Schizosaccharomyces pombe: one gene and its partners. The gene in region 2 interacts genetically with the main gene of each other region. Each region holds a gene or a part of one and is shown on either strand. Other genes may lie near its edges.

Evidence for each region.
Region 1: of etd1 (region 2) and rgf1, extra expression of one rescues a mutant of the other (dosage rescue), as found in Schizosaccharomyces pombe (one study listed by BioGRID).
Region 3: of etd1 (region 2) and rga1, a mutation in one rescues a mutant of the other (synthetic rescue), as found in Schizosaccharomyces pombe (one study listed by BioGRID).

The regions. Positions count from the first base shown.
Region 1 is NC_003421.2:1,243,069-1,246,824, reverse strand, and holds the start of rgf1 (RhoGEF family guanine nucleotide exchange factor Rgf1), read right to left. Parts: upstream 1,640-3,756; 5' UTR 1,563-1,639; coding exon 1-1,562. Other genes in the region: RhoGEF for Rho1, Rgf3, read left to right, coding at 3,613-3,756. UniProt on the Schizosaccharomyces pombe protein: Stimulates the exchange of Rho1 and Rho5 GDP-bound form into GTP-bound form. Controls septum formation, cell wall synthesis and localization of F-actin patches. Coordinates actin deposition with cell wall biosynthesis during bipolar growth.
Region 2 is NC_003424.3:5,085,829-5,089,584, reverse strand, and holds the start of etd1 (Spg1-binding protein Etd1), read right to left. Parts: upstream 1,607-3,756; 5' UTR 1,497-1,606; coding exon 587-1,496; exon of another isoform or gene 525-586; coding exon 259-524; 3' UTR 1-258. Other genes in the region: translation initiation factor eIF4A Tif1, read right to left, coding at 2,844-3,756. UniProt on the Schizosaccharomyces pombe protein: Involved in septation.
Region 3 is NC_003423.3:4,194,311-4,198,066, reverse strand, and holds the start of rga1 (Rho-type GTPase-activating protein Rga1), read right to left. Parts: upstream 2,021-3,756; 5' UTR 1,773-2,020; coding exon 1-1,772. UniProt on the Schizosaccharomyces pombe protein: GTPase-activating protein for Rho1. Involved in the F-actin patch localization, cell morphogenesis, regulation of septation, and cell wall synthesis.

The DNA of each region.
Region 1 (3,756 bases), on a different chromosome or scaffold from region 2:
TTATGATGGTTTTTGTTGTTAATGGATGCATTATCATTTGCGCGTAAGAAGGGGCGATAACCAGTACCTTGAAGCTGATATATTTCACGATGAGAATCACGAAGACGATGATCATAGGTAACATCATGAATAAATTTTTGTGCATCTAAAGAGCGTCCGACAAGTAAAGCGAGATTTCTATCAGAAGTATGTATAATACCCATTAGCACGGTGACTGCATGATCGCCAGTAAAGGCATTAGAATAAATTAAACCGTCTTTCGTGATATCACCTAGCTGTAGTCTATCTAACAATTCGCTGGCAACACGAGAAAGTAAGGCAGCATATATTCTGCGTCTTCGTTTATTTTTATGAACAGGCGAGCTAGCTTCCGAATTAACAAACGTCGGCGTTGTTGTAGAGCTTCGATCATTAATTAGGGAATTTCCACTTGCACGGGACTTATAAGAGCTCAACGTAAAGGACCTTGCAGTAGGTTCAACACCAAGTCTCTGCTGCTTAACTGCTTCATAATGAGCCAAGGTAGAATGATCAAATGAGCGATTTCGCATATCATGTTCTCTGTCTCGTAATGTGGTAGAGGGACCATGAAAGACATTAGAAAAGACGTCCAACCCAGAAAAAATATTCTTATGGCTGCTAGCAGAAGCTATGCTTAAATGAAGATCCGCGGGATTGCTAGTAGATTTTGGTAGCTGAAGGGACTGGGCAGGTGGAGAAACGTTAGCAGGATATTCACTAACACTACGTATGAGAGGTGCTTGAGCTGCAGGAGTAACAGCATTGGGAAGTGTAAAGGCGGAATTAGAAGAAACAATGGGTGGGTGAGTTCCTGAAGTAAATGAATGAGAACCAACAGTGTGAGAAGAATCATCAGTTGGTAATCGAGAATTTGAAGAGAGAAAGGGATTTTTAGACGAACGAACAGGAGAGCCGTAAGGATAATTTTGATCGAGATGAAGGTTTGTTTCTACGGACTCTGTAACAGAAGAGACTGCTGAAAGGAGGTTCTCATCTACTGAATCCGAAACCGGAGACGTGCTACTCTGAGACTGACGCCGAACGAAAAAAGGATTTTGGTTGGAATCATCACCGGATGATGTGTGCCAAGTCAAAGAAGGGGAATTAGAGTTATTGGGCGCATGATTCGATACCTGAGGAAAATGGGGTGTGGTGTTTAAAGATGCATATAGAGCACCAAAATCATTTCCGTCTTTAAGAGTCAATGGGACGATCTGGTGATTATTTGAAGTACCAAAAACGGAAGGAAAAGATTCACTGTGCTCAATATTTTTCACAGGAGATGCTTCTCTCTGATGAGTTGGAGGTGCAGGAGGTTGAGACGATGGAGGCTGCAAACTCGTGGAACGAAAGGGCAAAGGTTTCCGAGGAAGCCTTCGCGTGGGAGGAGGAAGAGGTTTTTTTGAGACTGGAGCCGGTTCCATGAACGCAGGAGTACTTACAGTTCTCGCCGGCTCCCGTTTTCTTGGAGCACCAAAAATTTCCTCATAAGCACGCGAGCTCTCATTCACACCGAGTGCATTTGGATGCCGGTAATCCATTGCTACTATAAAAACAATCAGTTTGACGATCGAATCGACAATGCTGAATGTTTCCCGTGAAAACGAGGGTTTGGTGGTGGAGAAAAAGACAAGATAATTTGACCACAAACTTTCTGCGAAAGTAGCTACGAACTCGTTATAACGGTAAGATGATGAAAAATTCTAATTTATACGATTTTCTAAATCAAAGACCATTAATATGTAAATTGCGTATTGCTTGATGAATTAATGTTTTGCTTTAGTATATTGCTTTCACCTTCAATTTCTTTTGCATGGAGGGTTTCCACTCGAAACACATGCTAAAAGGCGACATAAAAAAAGGCTTTTGTTAGTGTTTCCAGAGTTGAATGTTTAAAATTTGATTTAAATTATAATAATAAGTTTATATAGCCGTCCTGGTTCGTTCAATGAAACAATTGATTTGTTTACTTGTCTGCTTAGCAATTTGAGAGAGCAACAGGTATATTAAGAAAAGATTATCCTCGAAGGGAAAAATACGTATACTTAATATATCAGAAGAATTGTTACAGCAGCAGTAAACCGCATTAATATTATGAAGGGATGAGAAGCTATAAGTCATCAGTATGCTGTTTTGGGCTAAGTTTATCTACTTCTTCTATAGATAAGGTGATTTCAATGTTGAATATGTAGTAAAAAAGTCTTGAACTCCTTAAAAAAAAAGTACAAATCTGAATTTTCACTAGTCCTAACAAAGTTAATATCAACATTCAACTGCATCCTGGTCGACTTTCCACTAAAAAAAAAAACGCTTATATAAAAAGGGAAGTCATGAATGAACTCCTTTACTTTATATTGCCTATTGCTTTTCTACTTGCTGCAATTTATGTGCTCACTTTTTCTGTCCGACCAGCTCATAATTGTATTACCGATTTACAAATATGAAAAACATCATCTAAAATAATTAGCTTTAATCCGGATAACCTCAATTGATCGATTTCTATGACTATGCTGTATTGACTTATTTTATTTTAATTGCGTTCGCATTGTTTACTATTCAGCTTGTGCTCAACATCATATAAATTGATCAAATATCTTTTTGTACACTTTATTTGCCCTATTTATCGTTTAAATCATGTAATCTAAATTTGGAAAATTTGCTAGTCAAAGACCAATTTTGTTCTTCCGTCGCGAACATACAACCAGCCATTTTCTTATCCACTCCGCTCGCCGTCCACGAAGATCCCTTGGTGGTGGGTTATAAGTTATTTAACATTTACACATATATTTAAAAACCATAAAGTCCTATAATCTTTTCTTAGGCATCGATTTTGATTTATCCCAAACGTTTCATTAGAAGAGGTTGTTTTTTTGATCAAGTCATTACCTTTCATAATATACTGCTTTTGCTTTCTCTCTTTCTCTGTCTATAAACCTACGAAACTTGATTCCTCTGAAACGCTTGGGAGCTTTCTTTCCTTTTTGGGTTGTTTCAATCAGATCATCCTATATTATTCCTTCCGCCCTAACCCTTTTATTGTGGCATCACAAACCGAATAAACAGACTGTTGCATTGATATTGCGATACAATTCTTTCTTTCTTTTTTTCTTTCTTTCTGTATTCGTAATTTTATGTCAAAGTCTTTTATTAATAGAGGACGGGAGTTTCTCTGGTTCATCGCATAACTTTGAAAGCATCAATCGTTTTCATTCCGGCTTACTATAAAATTGCTTTTTTTGAGGGCGTACGAGATTGGTTTGCATTTTTTGAATTCCATTGACACTGAATTTGTTCTATTTTAATTTATTTTCCCTTATTTTATTCCATTTATTAATTTCTCTTCGCATTTCTTTCTTTTTTTTTATACTCTTCTTTCTCAATTCCTTTTTCTATCTTTTTTCACCTCTCTTTTCTCTTTTGTTGCACTGTCCATCCTGCAACATTTAGTTTTGACCTTTCTCTTTCTTGGATTGCAATTGAAATTGACTCCTATTTGGCCTTAGCTTGCCTTGATTCTTCAAATATTATTGTAGTTCTTTTTTGACCTAGTCATTTTTGGTGATTGTGGTTCCCCCTACCACTTTTTCTTTTATGAAGCTCTCCAATGAACTTTTTCATCGGAGCTCGAAAGACCATGGTGGAAAGAGCCGAATTTGTTTAGACTCTTCAGAGGACACTTATCCTCCTCATTCCTCTTCTCCACCATCTTTTCAGAAACGTCTATCGTTTTCCGAC
Region 2 (3,756 bases):
TACTTTTTCCGAAATATTATTGCAAAATAGATTTATTAAAAAGAGAAAACGAAAGAAATTTACAATAAAACCAAAAGCTTCTTAAGATGCAGAAGTATAAAAAGGTTGTAATGGCCAGTTTCACCTTTACTTGCTATCCACCAATGCGAAACTGTTCTCACAATTATTGAAATTATCCTAAGCGAAATTTTGACACTTTGGATAACAAAATAGATACTTCCCATTCCATTAATGGATTAAATAGCCAAAAAGAGAAACTCAGTGTAATAATAGTTGGAGTTGGGACATTAAATAATGCACATGATCGTTTAGCCCTGGTAGCATGGACGCATCGAAATCTAATGAAGAATCCCCTTCCAACTTAACTTTATATTTTGATAAAATGTTTTGCGCGTCCTCATCCTTTAAATCAGAATAATTTGCAGGATCCGCTAACCGTAGAATAGCCTTAGCCTCTCCTAAAATCTCTGAGTCCTTGTCGTAAATATCTTTGGAATTTGCCTTTTCGTAAAGATCTTTTAAGTCTATTTGTGTTTTTAGTTAGCAGCGGTTAAAACTAAAGCATTACAACACATGAATGTCTTACCTTTGATGGATCTCGTAAATTCCTTCACCTCAAAAAGCTGTTCTCGAACGGTGTGTCCTGCACTGTTTACCGTTTCGGGAATTATCAATGGACTATCGAATTTCACATTAAAGTCCTGCTCCCAATCTGAATCCGCATCGTCCGCAAATAAATCGCAACGAGATGAAAATCGAATATCCGATGAATCGTTATTTATATGAGTCGTTTGCGTATTGTCTTGAATGATAGGTTCCGACACTTTCGACGACTCTGGCGAAGTAGTCGATAACTCGTCCCAGCAAATACCATCCGAACTCTCATCTTCTTGCGTAGTCGCACCCAAAGAAGTTTCTTGGATTTGCTTAGCTAATTCATTTATCCGAAAGGAATCTGTCTCATTATCATCATGAAGCTCACCTTCAATAAATCCATTAACTGAAGGTAGTTCAGCACCTACACCACTAGCCTTGCTCCCTTTATTGGCCGAATTAAATTCATTACTTAACGCAGTTTTTTTACAGTTGCCTTTGTTTATCTCATTCGCCGTAAAGTGAGACAACGACGTACTGTCTGCACCTGAAGCGTTGCGTTGTACAGTACTTTTTGACTCAACTCCTATGAATGAAAAAATTCGTTTAGAAAATTTTCGGGAGTAACTTCTTAAGCTTTCAAATGCTGAGGGTTTCCTCCATGAGCCTTGATCTATGCATTCGGAGGTGTTAACTTCTTTCGGTAATCCAAGCTGTTTAGGGCGCCTCGGTGTAATATCTGAACCATAACTTTTCATGCCTTTCACATGCCTTCGTTGTAGAGTCACACCTTCAAAAGAATGACCCCTATTCTCTTCGAAAGTATCTGGAACCTCTGCCATATTGACAGAAGAATAGAAATATTCACTTAAATTTTGTTGACTGCCGTATACAACTCCCATTGACGAAATACTCGTAAATCTATATTTCTCTTAAGCTAAATTAAAGAAAGAATTATTGCCGTAGAGAAAAGACTGTACGCGTCAACCCATTCAAGTGTGTAAATAATGGTAGAAGGCACTTTCGTCAAGACCACGCTTTTGTTAGTAAACAAACGGTCGTCATGAGAACGACATAACGAATTTTGAACATGAATCTGTAAATGATTTATAAGGAAATACAAAGTTCTATAACATCAAAGAACGCAATTCGTTATGTTGTTTAAGCGCTATATAATTCTGATAAATACTTTATAACGCGTTAATCGTGGTTACGTTAAATAGGGCTTTGTAAAGATGGAATGCTAGCAGAGATAGACTAGGAAATGGAAAAGACTGTCTATTACAAGTTTTATTCATTAAAAATGTTCAACTTAAAATAAATAAGTTAGCCAAAAACTGAAAAGATGAATGACTCTACAAAGATTCAAAGCCACTGCTCGTTCATGAGCACAATGTTAGCATCAAAAGTTGCTATACGCCTTTCAACTTTCTTTACTTGCTTACGATAAACTCTTCAACTAACTCTGTTGATGCAGGGAAAACATTGTTTTCTTCTTTTCTTTCATTACATTGACTTAAAAGTCAAACTCTTTAAAACTAGTCAAATAATGTTTGCAGTTTAAAGCTACGTTTTTGAGAGCGTAAAGTGATGCAACCTTTAATCTCACAGTTAATATAAACATAGCGAATATAATAGGTTAATGGATCAATGATTAATAATAACTTTTACCTAGCAGAATTGTTTATTACTACAGACCATTTAACTTTTAGCAAAAGGAACTTCCTAATTCCTTACAAAAGTACGACTGGACAGTTACGGTTAACACAAATACGTTAGCTCTGAGCAAAAAAATTAATTCCACAAAGGTATACGCAGTAAATAAAAGTTCAATCCAAAATACAGATTGACATCCTCTATTCACTCATTTAGTTTTACCAAAAAACAAAAAAACGACAAACCTTCTAACCAAACTACAACACATTTATAAAAGTAATCACAGAACAGCTACACGAGGCTCAAAAGAAGAGTAAATATATGTAAATCAACCAAATCCAGCCTTTTATTTTGTGACCTAATGAATAAACAGCGTAGCCGAAAAAAAAAATCCTTTCTCAGCAAACACTAACACGACTCACAAAAAACCATATGGTGAGCAGCTATCAACCGGCACAGATAAAAGAAGCATTAAAAACATGGGCAAAGAAAAGCAGATAAATTAAGTTGCGGGAGGTTTGCCGGGTTGCGAGAAGAGCAATCACGGAGCGTTCCATATCTAGAACAAAGAGAAGAAAGGACTTTTGTATTTTTTAAATCAAGTCAGCAATGTTCATAGGCATTTCCTCAATGTGTGTATTGTAGAATTGTTCAATCTCACGCATCATGCGAACATCGTCGTTGGTAACAAAGTTAATGGAAACACCCTTACGACCGAAACGACCACCACGACCAATACGGTGAATGTAGTTTTCTCTGTTAGCAGGTAAGTCATAGTTGATAACCAAGGAGACTTGTTGGACATCGATACCACGAGCAAGAAGATCGGTGGTGATAAGAATACGAGAAGAACCAGTACGGAACTCATGCATCAAAGTATCACGTTGAGCTTGGTCCATATCACCGTGCATGGAGGAGACGGTAAAATCACGCTCAGTGAGCTGCTCGGTAAGCCAATCGACCTTTCTACGGGTATTACAGAAAATAACGGCTTGAGTAACAGTGACGGTTTCATAAAGATCGCAAAGAGTGTCAAGCTTCCACTCTTCCTTTTCAACGGCAACATAGAATTGCTTGATACCTTCCAAGGTAAGCTCATCTTTCTTAACAAGGATACGAATGGGATCACGCATAAATTTGGTGGTGACTTCCAAAACATCTTGAGGCATGGTGGCAGAAAGAAGAACAACTTGAGCAGTAGGAGGCAAAAGTTGGAAAATGTCGTAAATTTGGTCCTTGAAACCACGGGACAACATTTCATCAGCCTCATCAAGAACAAACATTTGGACGGCATCGGTAGGAAGAGCACGACGTTGAATCATGTCGTGAACACGACCTGGTGTACCAACAACAACGTGAACACCAGCTTGCAAGGCAGCCATATCATCACGAACAAGAGTACCACCAATACAAGCATGGCATTCAACATTCATGAGATCGCCTAAAGCAACAACAACCTTTTGGATTTGTTGAGCAAGCTCACGGGTAGGAGCAAGGATAAGAGCT
Region 3 (3,756 bases), on a different chromosome or scaffold from region 2:
AACGGCTTTCGCTGTGATGAGTCGTTATTCTCCATAAGTATAGTATATAATCGAACCAAGGCAATACGTAGCAAGTAAATATATTGAGAAAGCCTGCTCACATACTCAAAAGACGGATGAGGTTCGTCGTTACTAACGTTGGATGATTCAGTATAACATAAATAACATTCTATTTGTTTCGTTTGGTTGTTCCAGCGCGCCCAATCGTAATTCTCCCGATTGTTGTATTTACATTTAGTACATGACAAACAGCCAATATGGCAGCGAATTTCACCCAGGAGAACACAGTCTTCCTCCAAGGCAGAATGACACACATAGCATAAATCGGAGCTGGCATTGGCCAAATTTAAAGGCATATCAAACGAAGAACTATCATATCCTTCTTGATCGACAAATCGAGCTTCTTCTACGGTCTGTAAAAACTGGGGAAGAGCATGCTTACAAGCATGATCTTGTTCTAGTCGTAAACCTCCCGTAAGCGATATCCGAATAAGTAACTTGAGGTAATGAGCTAAACCGGTAAAGAGTGATAAAAAGTCTTGAACAATAGCAACGTCGCGAATATCCGAATTATGGCATTTAGCAAGTAAAGCAAATATTGAAACTAGCTTCTTGCAAAGCAACTTAGCTTCACGAACATAAGGCATACTTTTAGCATGAAAACTTGAAAGTATAGTTTCTAGCGAATCAATGCCTTTAAAAAGTATCTCGATATAACGAATAAATTTTTGGGCACAAATAACACTTTTTGTGAATTCTCCATTTGAAACAAGGAGAAGCATATCACTGATACACGAAGCTGTATACTCCTCAAAATAAGAGAGTGCATGCCAAATATGAAATATTTTCTGTTCTAAATGTTTTTCCCGTTTGCGTAATTGTGATTGAGAAAGCTCAGAATCCTTCTTTTTAGAAGTTTCTATGGATGTCTTTTGACAAAGTTTAACATTCCAAAACTTGTAGATCATATGACAAGGAACGTGCCAATTTTGAGATACCCCATTTCTGTAAACTTCAACAAATTGCCTTAAAATTGGACCATCACAACCGCAACATCGTGCAGCGAAAAGTGTTGAATAATGATAATGACAATACACTTTGCCCTCATATTCATAGTAAGAATCATTCGGACCAAAAACAGTGTAACATAAGGAACAAGTGAAATGTTCTATATGAAATTTTTTATTCAAAGCTGTAATATAATAACCTCGAAGGGCCATTCCACAACTTGCACAAAGTAAGTCAAGCCGCCGAAAATAATCTGTTTCACATAAAGGCACTTGCTTGTTAAGAGTGGGATCATCAATAGGAAAAAATTTTGAAGCAACTAAAGAATTACAATCATGGCATCGAAAACATTCTAAGTGATATATATTTCCAAGAGCACGTACATATTGTCCGGATATAACTTGTCCACATGAAGCACATATCTTTGATGAAGAAACTTTCCTTACAGCCTTAGGAAATACAGAAGTATCTGATCGCTTTAGACTTTGCTGCTCCTCTTTATTAAGCAAACCAGATTGGGCTAATTGTTGCTGATTAGGCAACGCTTTTCGAGACTCAGCAGAGGTATGCCTCCGAGAAAGTGAGCTGCCACCCTCAGTACCAGCAACAGTGCTTGTATGTCGAGAATGGGGGAAATTCTTCGTTGTAGAATTCTCTTCTATCTTATTTTGACGGGAAGGAACAGGAATTCGTTTCGGTGGTGTTGGTGATACACCATTCGTTGTGTACAGCAACCCATCTTTTTTGGCGTCCCTTTGGGACATACTGTCCTTGCTGTTTGAACGAACCTTAGCTTCTATATTAAACGCCTTTATCACTTAATAAACCAGTATGACTAGTTAATCCTCTTTGGGATATTTCCGTTCGAAAATCACCCCCAAGAAAACCTTATGGGACTCAATTCCTTCAGTTTTTAAAAGAGTGAAATTAATAATATGTAAGACCTCAAATAACTAAGCCTATAGCTTTTGAAGCTATTTTTTTTCAGAGACTAACTATTGTTGCGGTATGTTGGTGGTTGTTGGTCCGACTTCCACCTAAGAGGAGACTGCACACCATGGAATCCAAGTCAGAAATGCTAAACTCCAGCTTGATATAGGGGCCAAAATAGACCCTAATTTTTATAGCGACTAAGACATGAAGTCATTTGGGAAACCGATTTCAGTACACACCCCGAAAATGACTTTAGATCTTCGTTTAGAGAATAATCTGTATTTTTGTTTTATCTCTCTTTAATGCTACACTTTATGCTCCTTTTGGATAGTTATTCTTAGGTGTAGGTTTAGGCACTGAATTTTACAACGACTATTATACTAGAGCTGCTCGCTGCTCATGCTAAGGCTTTTACACATTTACGAAGTCTATGTTATAACAAGAGTCCTTATAGATGTTTGAAATTATCATAGACAATATGAGTGACTTTGATTTTAACTACCTGTTCAAGTTTCCCAAAAAGTATTTAAGTACTTTCCCACTGTGTTTCCCAGACTACGTACGTCTTGCAAGTTCAGTAGGGTTGAATTCAGATAAAATAAATGGAGTTTATAAAAACTCAAATCACTTAATACATTATCTTAAAAATACATGCAGAATTTTTTATTTTTATTTCTGACAGTTGCTTCTATACTGAATTATCATAATATAACGATTATTTTTTTATGAGAAAAAGGAAACCAAAGGCATTCGAGCATTTTTGAGTAGTTTCATAACTGCTTTTTGTTTTGCTTAACTTGCATCATTTTGGCTTCTTCACAGACTGAACGCTAAGGTCCTATGTTGTGCTAATTCAGAGTTTACATCTTCTTTTACGACCCTTAGTTGCACAAACTTCCACACAATTGATTCGAATTCTGAATCCTTATTCGATTTGTTGCTTGAAGCTACTTTCGTCTGTAAAAAGTTGTGTATTATTATACTAACAATGGACCTCAAATCCTTTACAGCTTCAAAACTACTATTCGTCACTGAGTCATGAGCAAATTTCGTTAAAAAACTACGGGTATTTATTATCTCAGAAGAAATAGTTTACGAATTCATGAAGTAGATCAGCTTTATGAGTTACCGCGGTTAATAAGTTAAAGGATTAGCACTTAAGAAAAATCAAAGAGAAAATGAGCATTAATTTATGTAAGAAAATAATCAGAAATGATCAATTGTGATGGTTTGAGCAATAACAAGTGAAGGTTGTAAATTCAGTAAACAAACAATAGATATCTGTTCCAAGAGGTTAATCGAAACGGTTACTTACAAAAGATTTGTGGGTAAAGGCCTTTGATAAATGTATTAAAGTCGAATAATCATCATAAGCATTTATATTTCATGTAATGCAACAGAAAATTTTTTTATCTAAAAAATGAGAAGGAAATAAAGAAAAATAAAGAAGAAGCATAGAATGAAATGAACCACACTTTTATTGTTGTTAAATTACTTACAAAGAAAAAATGTCGTGCGCGTTATATATTGCAATCGTTTGTGGACTACTGGAATCCTTTTGAATTAATTCAATTGTAGGCATAACTTTTTTAATGGTTTATATAAATACGTAAAAGTGTTTAAATGAAAGATTGATGATGCTGCTTTTCATGCACCGCGTCGAAACGCCTGACCATTTAACAATCACAAGTCAACAGTATGATTTCAAGAAGCACTTTAACAATTTACCAAAATACTTATTTTAAAATTGAATATAATATTACTGATCTGGAACGTTGCAGGACACTAGGTGGTTGATTTGTTTACAGTTCGTGA